Nothobranchius furzeri: one gene and its partner. The protein of the gene in region 2 purifies or fractionates together with the protein of the main gene of each other region. This does not show direct contact. Links are inferred from orthologs where the notes say so. Each region holds a gene or a part of one and is shown on either strand. Other genes may lie near its edges.

What was found.
Region 1: the proteins of pim1 (region 2) and edc3 purify together in Homo sapiens (affinity purification with mass spectrometry; 3 studies listed by BioGRID and IntAct, counting the BioPlex papers as one, with this or other methods). This does not show direct contact. The link is inferred for Nothobranchius furzeri from reciprocal best matches to the Homo sapiens genes PIM1 and EDC3.

Annotation. Positions count from the first base shown.
Region 1 is NC_091744.1:58,994,394-58,998,587, forward strand, and holds the start of edc3 (enhancer of mRNA-decapping protein 3), read right to left. Parts: upstream 2,811-4,194; 5' UTR 2,670-2,810; intron 2,478-2,669; 5' UTR 2,475-2,477; coding exon 2,311-2,474; intron 2,239-2,310; coding exon of another isoform or gene 2,222-2,238; coding exon 1,995-2,221; intron 1,902-1,994; coding exon 1,563-1,901; intron 1,479-1,562; coding exon 1,325-1,478; intron 1-1,324. UniProt on the Homo sapiens protein: Binds single-stranded RNA. Involved in the process of mRNA degradation and in the positive regulation of mRNA decapping. May play a role in spermiogenesis and oogenesis.
Region 2 is NC_091755.1:49,180,550-49,184,619, forward strand, and holds pim1 (serine/threonine-protein kinase pim-1), read left to right. Parts: upstream 1-1,279; 5' UTR 1,280-1,509; coding exon 1,510-1,576; intron 1,577-1,706; coding exon 1,707-1,813; intron 1,814-1,906; coding exon 1,907-1,957; intron 1,958-2,104; coding exon 2,105-2,471; intron 2,472-2,852; coding exon 2,853-3,029; intron 3,030-3,114; coding exon 3,115-3,332; 3' UTR 3,333-3,559; downstream 3,560-4,070. UniProt on the Homo sapiens protein: Proto-oncogene with serine/threonine kinase activity involved in cell survival and cell proliferation and thus providing a selective advantage in tumorigenesis.

The sequences.
Region 1 (4,194 bases), on a different chromosome or scaffold from region 2:
CCTGCATTAACATCGAAAAGAGGAAACATTGGAAACTACACCTCAGAACATACCTGAGGAAACAAAAACAAAAGGGTACACAAGCGACTAGTGCTGCAGCTACATGCATCACGCAGGTTGTTCCCAATCTTTTACTCAAAAGTTTGATGCTTTTTTATGTTTGATCTTCTTTATGTCTGATTCTTCAGGCACTCGAGGAGTACAGACGCTTCCCTCTTTTGCTCCCTTATCTTTTTTTCCCCAAGGCTCTTTGTCCTGTCTGCCCACAGAGCGCTTCTCTGCATTTCTTCTGAAAAACTGTTAACTAACCATGGATTTGATAAATTGGTCATTCAATGCGATCGATAAGATTTTTTCAACATTGAGAACGGAGTAGGGGGGCTCCCACATGTCCACAGGGGACACACCCAGTGGGATATATGTTGGATTCCCGGAAGGAGTGGAAGATCATATGCCTCTCCCAGCTGTCGATTGAGGATATCGAAGACGTGTGGATATTCGGCCTGATGATCACTGGATTTCTCCTGATTGGAGTGGGAGGATATCTGGTTTTCTGGAAATTTGGGAAGACGGGAGCGGTTGGAGGGTGACCTGCACCCACGGAAAGCACCGTACGTGTGGAGACTTCTCAGACTGGGACGTTACTCGAGGTGAATCATAAGCTGGACAATGTTCTAGCTGCGATACCGGTATTAGTGTGCAAAATGGACGTCATCTCGGAGAGTTACCAGACGGTATGGACAAGCTTAAAAACCCAAAATTGGCTTCACTGAAGGACTGGAATGATCAGTTTAAAAGACTGAAGGCAAAGAGGAAAATTATATCAGCCTGACCCAAACAAATTCTTGTTATCCGAATCTGACGCCCTGGTAGCCTTGAACTGCAAGCAACTAAAAACCCCCATGAAGGAATGCAGACAGATGCTGTGAAAACCCGACCTACCAACCTGTATGTCTGATCTCTGAATTGTGCATACTGAAACTCTAATTTACCTCTGGGATTAATAAAGTATTGATTGATTGATTGATCCAAAACCGTTTGGTCTGTTTCATCCATCATTTATACCAGAGTCGGCCTTAGTCATGCATAAAAAAATCTTTGCTTTTCTCCATTATTAAAAAGTGAAGCCACTTTTCGGGCTGCCTCAGCATGTCAGTCCCAATTAAACATGTCGACACAGAGGAAACCACAGTCATGACAACCAATGAAGTATCTGTAATTAGCTCATTTAAGTTACTCGAATAATTTAAGTGCTGAAATTGACTCAAAACTTTCCTTATTTCTAAGGTGATTTAGAAGTTAGTCTTCATCTTTACACATTTACCTGTTGGGCCCTCCTAACAGTGTAAGTGCCATCTGACTGGCACACACTCCAGTCATCTCAAGTCTTCGCTCCAGTGAGAGGCCGTGACGCTCAGCAGCAGACAACAGCCGCTTGTGGAGTTCATAGGAAATACTTGGTACAACAAGTCCAGAATCTGTAGAAAGTAATAGAGAAAGGTGTCAACCAGTTTAAACCCAAACACTATCATATAATACCATTTACAATGTTAAGCACATACCAGTACAGTACTCTTTGGCCCCAGGCTGAGGTACAATAATCTGTCTGTAAACGACTGGTTTGCCCTCCAATATGTTCTCATCATGGCGGTACCGTGAGGGTGTCTGGTCTTGAGGAGTGCCCCGTGACCGTGCCCCGTTACGCCGCTCTGATGTGTCAATCTCTGAGAAAACTGCTGCTTTGTCAAAAAGGGCAAGATTCCCTTCGAAGTCAAAATCCGTGTCCAGGTCATCCTCCATGCCGTCCCCAAAACACTCATCGTCTCTGTGCTTCATCTGACCGTTCTTCACTCCATTCTTTTTAGGTGTTGCTTGGTTTGGTCCTCGACTACTAGATGACCCTGGTGAGATTAGAAAAACTTCAACCATTAGTATCATGCCACAGAAATTGATTTTTTGTTTAGTTATTTGATCGCCGAACAAATGGCCCTTACATGAGTTATGTCTTCGACGAAACCCTTTGGGTTGGCCCAGAGCATCTAGATGACGCTCTCCGTAACTTTTAGAGCATTGCTGGGGAGAGTTTAATTTCTCAACAGCTCTGGGGTCACCCTTTGGGACTGCCACCGGAACACTGTGCACGTTTGTAGCTGTAGTAGAGGTTCTCCTTGCATTACCACTTCTGATGTCTAAAATCTTTAGCTCCCTTATATCAATGGCACTGGAAAAACAATCAAACTATTGTATCAATAGTTACTAGAAACTGCAAATCACACAAAGTTACTAACAGTGGAAAAGACCCGTGTTTACCTGAATGTGACCTCGGGAACTGGACATTTGACTCCGTTGTGAAAAGGCTGCCTTAGAGAGATGGTTTGGCTTGACTGGTCCACTGATGATACTTCTCCTTGATACACCCCAAGCGTTGGGCCACAATTAATGGACACTAAACTACCTAACCAGTCCGCAGCCATTATCTGCAAAAAGTTAAAAGTTGTCACACTTGTTACAGCAGCACGTTAACTTGTGACCTAAGAGAACCACAAATATTAATTGTTCATTTTTAGGCCTACGAAATGTGTCGACTGCTTATTATTCCGGCCTGTTATTAAGCTACGCAGAGCCAATTTACGTGCTGAAACGTAAAATACCTTCAACTATCACCGTACCTTTAGGGAATTAAGATAAAGTAGACCCCTCTTGATAATAAAAATGAAACAGCGGGTAGTAAAAGCTAAGAAAATTGCTCTCGGAGAAGTTAGCGTTTTAGCTTTAGAACAGCTACTGCTATTCGCCTTCCTGTTTCCGGTAGACTGAGCTTTTCAAAATAAGACGGAACTTTTATATCTGGCTGGTAAAAACGTTTAGTCAAAAGTCTTTAACTGAAAGTGAGTGAGTGAGTGAGTGAGTGAGTTTTTGTTTGTTGTGGATTCTTTGTTATTTTTTTACATGTTTTACTGAAGTACAAGTATTTTATAAGGTTTACAACCATTCCATTCCACACGTTTAATGGAAATAGTTATCAGTTAGCAAATAATCAATACTTGCAGCATTTCCTCTTTTTTTTCTTTTCTTTTTTTTTTTTTTACTTTTTATTTATTTGTCTTTCTTATTTAATCAACATATACAACAAAAATCTGTGTTGGTAGAAAAACAAACTAAAGAAAAGAAGGAGAACCATATAGGGCAAAATTGAAAAAATGACAATAAAATGTATGGGTGAATATAAAACAGTTGCTTGGGGCTTTGCCAATTCTATCCTATAACCAGTTATATTTTTACCTTTAGCATCCTATGTCCCTTGAAGATAGGAGGTCCATTTTTCCCCATTAAAAAAAAGAGTTCTCCCCTCAGTCTCAACTAAAAAGTGATCCGTTCCATCGTATATTGTTCACTGTCTCCTCTCACTGTTCCAGGGTTGGTGGTTCTGGTTATTGTTTTTTTACCAGCAATTAACAAAATTTTACAGAGATAGTCCTTTCTCTTGACCACATTCTCAGTTAAGTTACAAAACATTAAAATCATCTCATTTTGGGGTATTTTATATCCAAATAATTTTGTCATTTCAATAGATTTTTGATCCTAAAATGGTTTTATTCTGTTGCATGTCCAAAACATGTGGGTGTGGTTGGCACTTATGTGTCCACACTCCCTTCAGCAGGGTTCCAGTGAGTTTAATATTTTATGATTTAGTTGTGGTGTTAGAAGGTTTGTTTGTTTGTTTGTTTGTGGATTCATTGTTATTGTTTGACATGTTTTACTGAAGTACAAGTATTTTATAAGGTTTACAACCATTCCATAAACACATTTAATGGAAACAGTTATTAGTTAGCAAATAATCAGTACTTGCAGCATTTCCTCTTTTTTTGAAGCTGTCTGCAGTTCACTGATGCTGTCAGTCAGCTTCTGTGCCAAATCCTGAGTGACAGCAGCTTCTTGCATAAACAATGCTTGAGATTTTTCAGAATTTGTAGGTTCTTCATCTAGAGCAGGGATTTCCAAAGTGTGGTGCACGCACCCCTGGGGGTGCGCGAGCTGCCGCTAGGGGGTGCGCGAGGTGAAAAGTGTAATGGCTGCGGAGCTCAGAGAAGTCTGTCATATGTCACCATTATTGTAGAAACTCATTTGTGGGTGGGCCTAAGAAAAAGTAAGTGGGCCCAATAAATGTAATTGAAAACAAGTATATTTTTGCGC
Region 2 (4,070 bases):
TTTGAATGTGCATGTAAACAAATTATGTTAATGGGAATAACAAAGTCTATTTTCTTATTACAGTCTACCTGATAATTAAAAGTCACGCCCCTACGTCTAGTTTGAATCCTGCTTTCGCTTTAGCAGATTGTGGAATGCAATACATGACGATTTACTACTTAATTCCAAAAGAAAACAAAAAGTAAGTTAAGCAGGAGAAGGGGGAAGGAGCAAGCCACTCAGACAATAACATGCGCGGGAAAGGGAGGGCGGAGGGGCAAAAGAAGTCTTTTTATCTCTGGTTTCCCACATCCTGTGAACTGCTGCAAACGCGGCCACCCAATTTGAAAGAATGCGTGGAATGCGCATTTTCTCCCCCTGCGCCGCTTTGATGCGCACCCAGTCTAAAGGCGTCTTCAATAGAGCGCAATCCCGGGCTCTGCAGAGCACTGCTGCCAGTAAGCTGCAGTGTTTAACGCGAAAATAATCAGGTAAACGGCGGGCTGCAAGAACAGACGGAGCCGAACATGATGAAGTGCTCTCAGAGTTGCACGTGTCACTTGATGCGGGAAAACAAATCCTGGTTTCCGAGTCAAATTGTGACTTTGAAAGCAGCAGGAAGCTCCCCGTAGTCAAATATGAGACACGTATGAGTAAACGCATGCATGCAATTCTGACTTTAAAGATGAATAATTATATTAATACGCATCAGTGTGTGATATGATCGCTGTGCCGCTGACATTTGTTTCTTTAGGTGATTTAAAACTGCAAACACTTATTAAAATTAATATTAATGTAGTTACAATAAAATTAATAAAGTTGCTGAAATAAATAAATAGAACTGTGCAAGGCTGGTGTTTTGTATTGTCCTCCTAGCGTCTTCTCCTTTCCAACAGTGGCGCTTGGCTTTGAATTTGCATTTCCCTCCAACATGAATCCAGAATTATGCTTTATTCCAACCCTTTTTGGCGCGTTTCGATTCCCGCCACGTCTGTCTGGGCCGGCCGGTTGAAACCTTGTGTCTGGGTTCGTTCGCTGATTGACGTGAGATTCGAACGGTTCCGAAAGCGAACCTGGATTCCTATTGGTTTAGAGAGCGGAAAGAGGCGGGCGCGCGGCATAAACGTCATCGCGTAGGCCACGCCCTCTTACTACTGCCTTATAGCCGTCCTCCCCCTGCTTTTTGTTTCCAGGAGCCGGTGTCTGGCTGAGGCGGTCGTCTGTTGTGTCTTTGCGGGTTTATTCTCCTCCTCTGTTTACAAACACCACCGGGAACGACCCGTTCGTTGCTGTGAGAGAACTCGCGTCCAGCCACCGAGTCGACATTTTTATTATTTATTTTTATTTATCTGGACCACGCGGCGGATTTGCCCTCTTTCCCCCCCTGGATGAAAGGATTTGCCGCATTTTGTTCTACTCGCAACGTGGACTGAAAGCTTCCCAACAGCGCGGGAGAGTCGAGCTGCCCGGACTAGAACACCGAGGAGGAGCCGTTTGAACCAACCCGCCGTGGTGGATTCGGTTACCGGAATGCTGCTGTCTAAGCTGGCCCACATCTCTAACGTAGACATGCCGGTGAAGCTCCAGGTTCAACAAGGTTAGACGCCCTCAGTGCCTTCCCGGAGGACCGGGGCTGCAGCAGCTAACGCGGCTGCACGCATATTTACCGGTCTCAGGCCAACACCGTCTTCCTAAAGGGATGTTTACCGGTTTTTGTGTGTTCGCAGTGAAGGAGAAGGAGCCTTTCGAGAAGCTTTATCAGGTCGGTGCCGTGATGGGCAGCGGCGGCTTCGGCACCGTGTACTCCGGTACGAGGGTTTCCGACGGGACTCCGGTCAGTACATCCTGTTTTCCTCCGTTAAACCAGCCTTTCTCATGCCTGTGCTGTTGTGTTCGTTCCGTCTAACCGGGGCTGCTTCTCGTTCAGGTCGCTGTCAAACACGTCGCCAAGGACAGGGTCACCGAGTGGGGAGATCTGGTAAGAGACATTTTGTACACATTCCTCTAGAAGCGGCGGAGTCCGTCTTTAATCGTTTTTGGTGATTTGGTGTGATTCACGTCGAAGGTAGACGCCGTTTCGGCGCGTTTTCTGCGACCTAACGAGCGGTTTTCACGGTTCTTTCAGCCCAACGGCTCCCGGGTTCCCATGGAGATCGTGCTGCTGAAGAAGGTGGGCACGGGCTTCCGCGGCGTCATCAAGATGCTGGACTGGTTCGAGCGACCGGACAGCTTCATCATCGTCATGGAGAGGCCCGAGAACGTCAAGGACCTGTTCGACTTCATCACCGAGAAGGGCGCGCTGCCGGAGGAGCTGGCGCGCAGCTTTTTCCGCCAGGTGCTGGAGGCTGTGCGGCACTGCCACAACTGCGGGGTGGTGCACCGCGACATCAAGGACGAGAACATCCTCATCGACCTCCGCACCGGCGAGATGAAGCTCATCGACTTCGGCTCGGGAGCGCTGCTGAAAGACACCGTTTACACGGACTTTGACGGTGAGATTTCGTGTTTGTTTTCCGTGTGTGTGTGCGTGCGCGCGTGTGTGTGTGTGGTCTTGAGTAGAAATTCCTGGGTTGTGTCATTTCTGACACACAGATTCTGTCGCCCCCTATTGGCCGGAAGTGGCATTTTTACAACTCAAAGTTTGTAAACAAAGTCACATGTCTGCTCCCCCCTCCCCCCCCTCACACAAACACTGCCAGTCACGCAGCCTGGCACCTGAGTCCAGATAAAAGCCTAGCAAACAAGCCCGGCTGCTATCTGTATCTGCCCCTGCAGGGCTTTTATTTTCACTAACCGGCTGCTGTTCGTGTGTAAATACACCTGCACCGTTTTATTTCTACCCTAATGTGTATCTGTGTGTTTTTGTCTGACAGGTACCAGAGTGTACAGCCCCCCAGAGTGGATCAGATATCATCGGTACCACGGGCGATCTGCTACCATCTGGTCCCTGGGTGTCCTGCTGTACGACATGGTGTGCGGGGACATCCCGTTCGAGCACGACGAGGAGATCACGAAGGCACACATTCTTTTCCGAAGGAGGGTCTCTCCTGGTGAGCTCATGCCGGGTGGAATATCTTGTTTCCTTCATGCGCTGTGAACTTGTGGACTAATTGGTTTCCTCTTTTGTCCTCCCAGAATGCCAGCAGCTGATTAAGTGGTGCCTGTCTCTGCGGCCCGCTGACCGCCCGTCCCTGGAGGACATCGTTAACCACTCGTGGATGCAGAACACCTCCCCCTCCTCCGTAATGCCGTCCACGGCGCAGACGGAGAAGACGACCACCGAGATCAGGCTGCACAGCATCGGCCACGAGCCCACCGCCTTCACGCCCACCCCCGTGGCAGTGGCCCGGTGATGACGGCAAACCACAGAGGCTATTCCAAAAGACTTGATGTAATGAGCTCAAAACGGGGCGAGAGAGAGGGGCGTTCCCACGCCCGAGCCAGAGAAAGTGTAAGGAACTACACGTGCTGGAGGCCGTCGCCGACCGTCACTTTGTGGTTCCAGTCTGGCAGACCGAACCCGCTCCTGCTGAGTCGCATCGATGCCGTGGCACGGTCCTGGCTGGACTCTGGTCCAGGCAGCGGGTGTCCGGGAGCCCGCAGGGCGCAAGTCGAGGCTGTTCTGTGCAACAGCGGGCGGACAGTCCGAGTTATGTAATCTCTCAACACCCTGTTCACTTCCCAGCTCCGTTTTTGTCACAGCGGAGCGGGAAGAGCGGAGGCGTTGGACGAGATGCTGGAGTTAAATAAGTGCCTTCTGTGAAATTATCTAGGGAGACCTGAGAATACTTGAATCTGTTCTGTACTTTTGTGCGAGGCTCTTTGTTGTTTCTGCTCTCCTGGGCATAGATCAGTAAAGCCCACGCCTTTTACAGCCACCACCATCACCACTACTCCAATGTCATTAGCAACCAGACGACCTCATGGCTCCGGCAGCAAACCAGTCATTACCTAGAGAAACACTGGACTTACCTCGGTCTATTCACGTCTGCACCCACCTCTGCTCCACAACTCTGCTTCCTCCTGATTCCTCAGATCCACCTGAACGCACACAACAATGCAAACGCATACCAGACCCCCCCCTCCGCTCT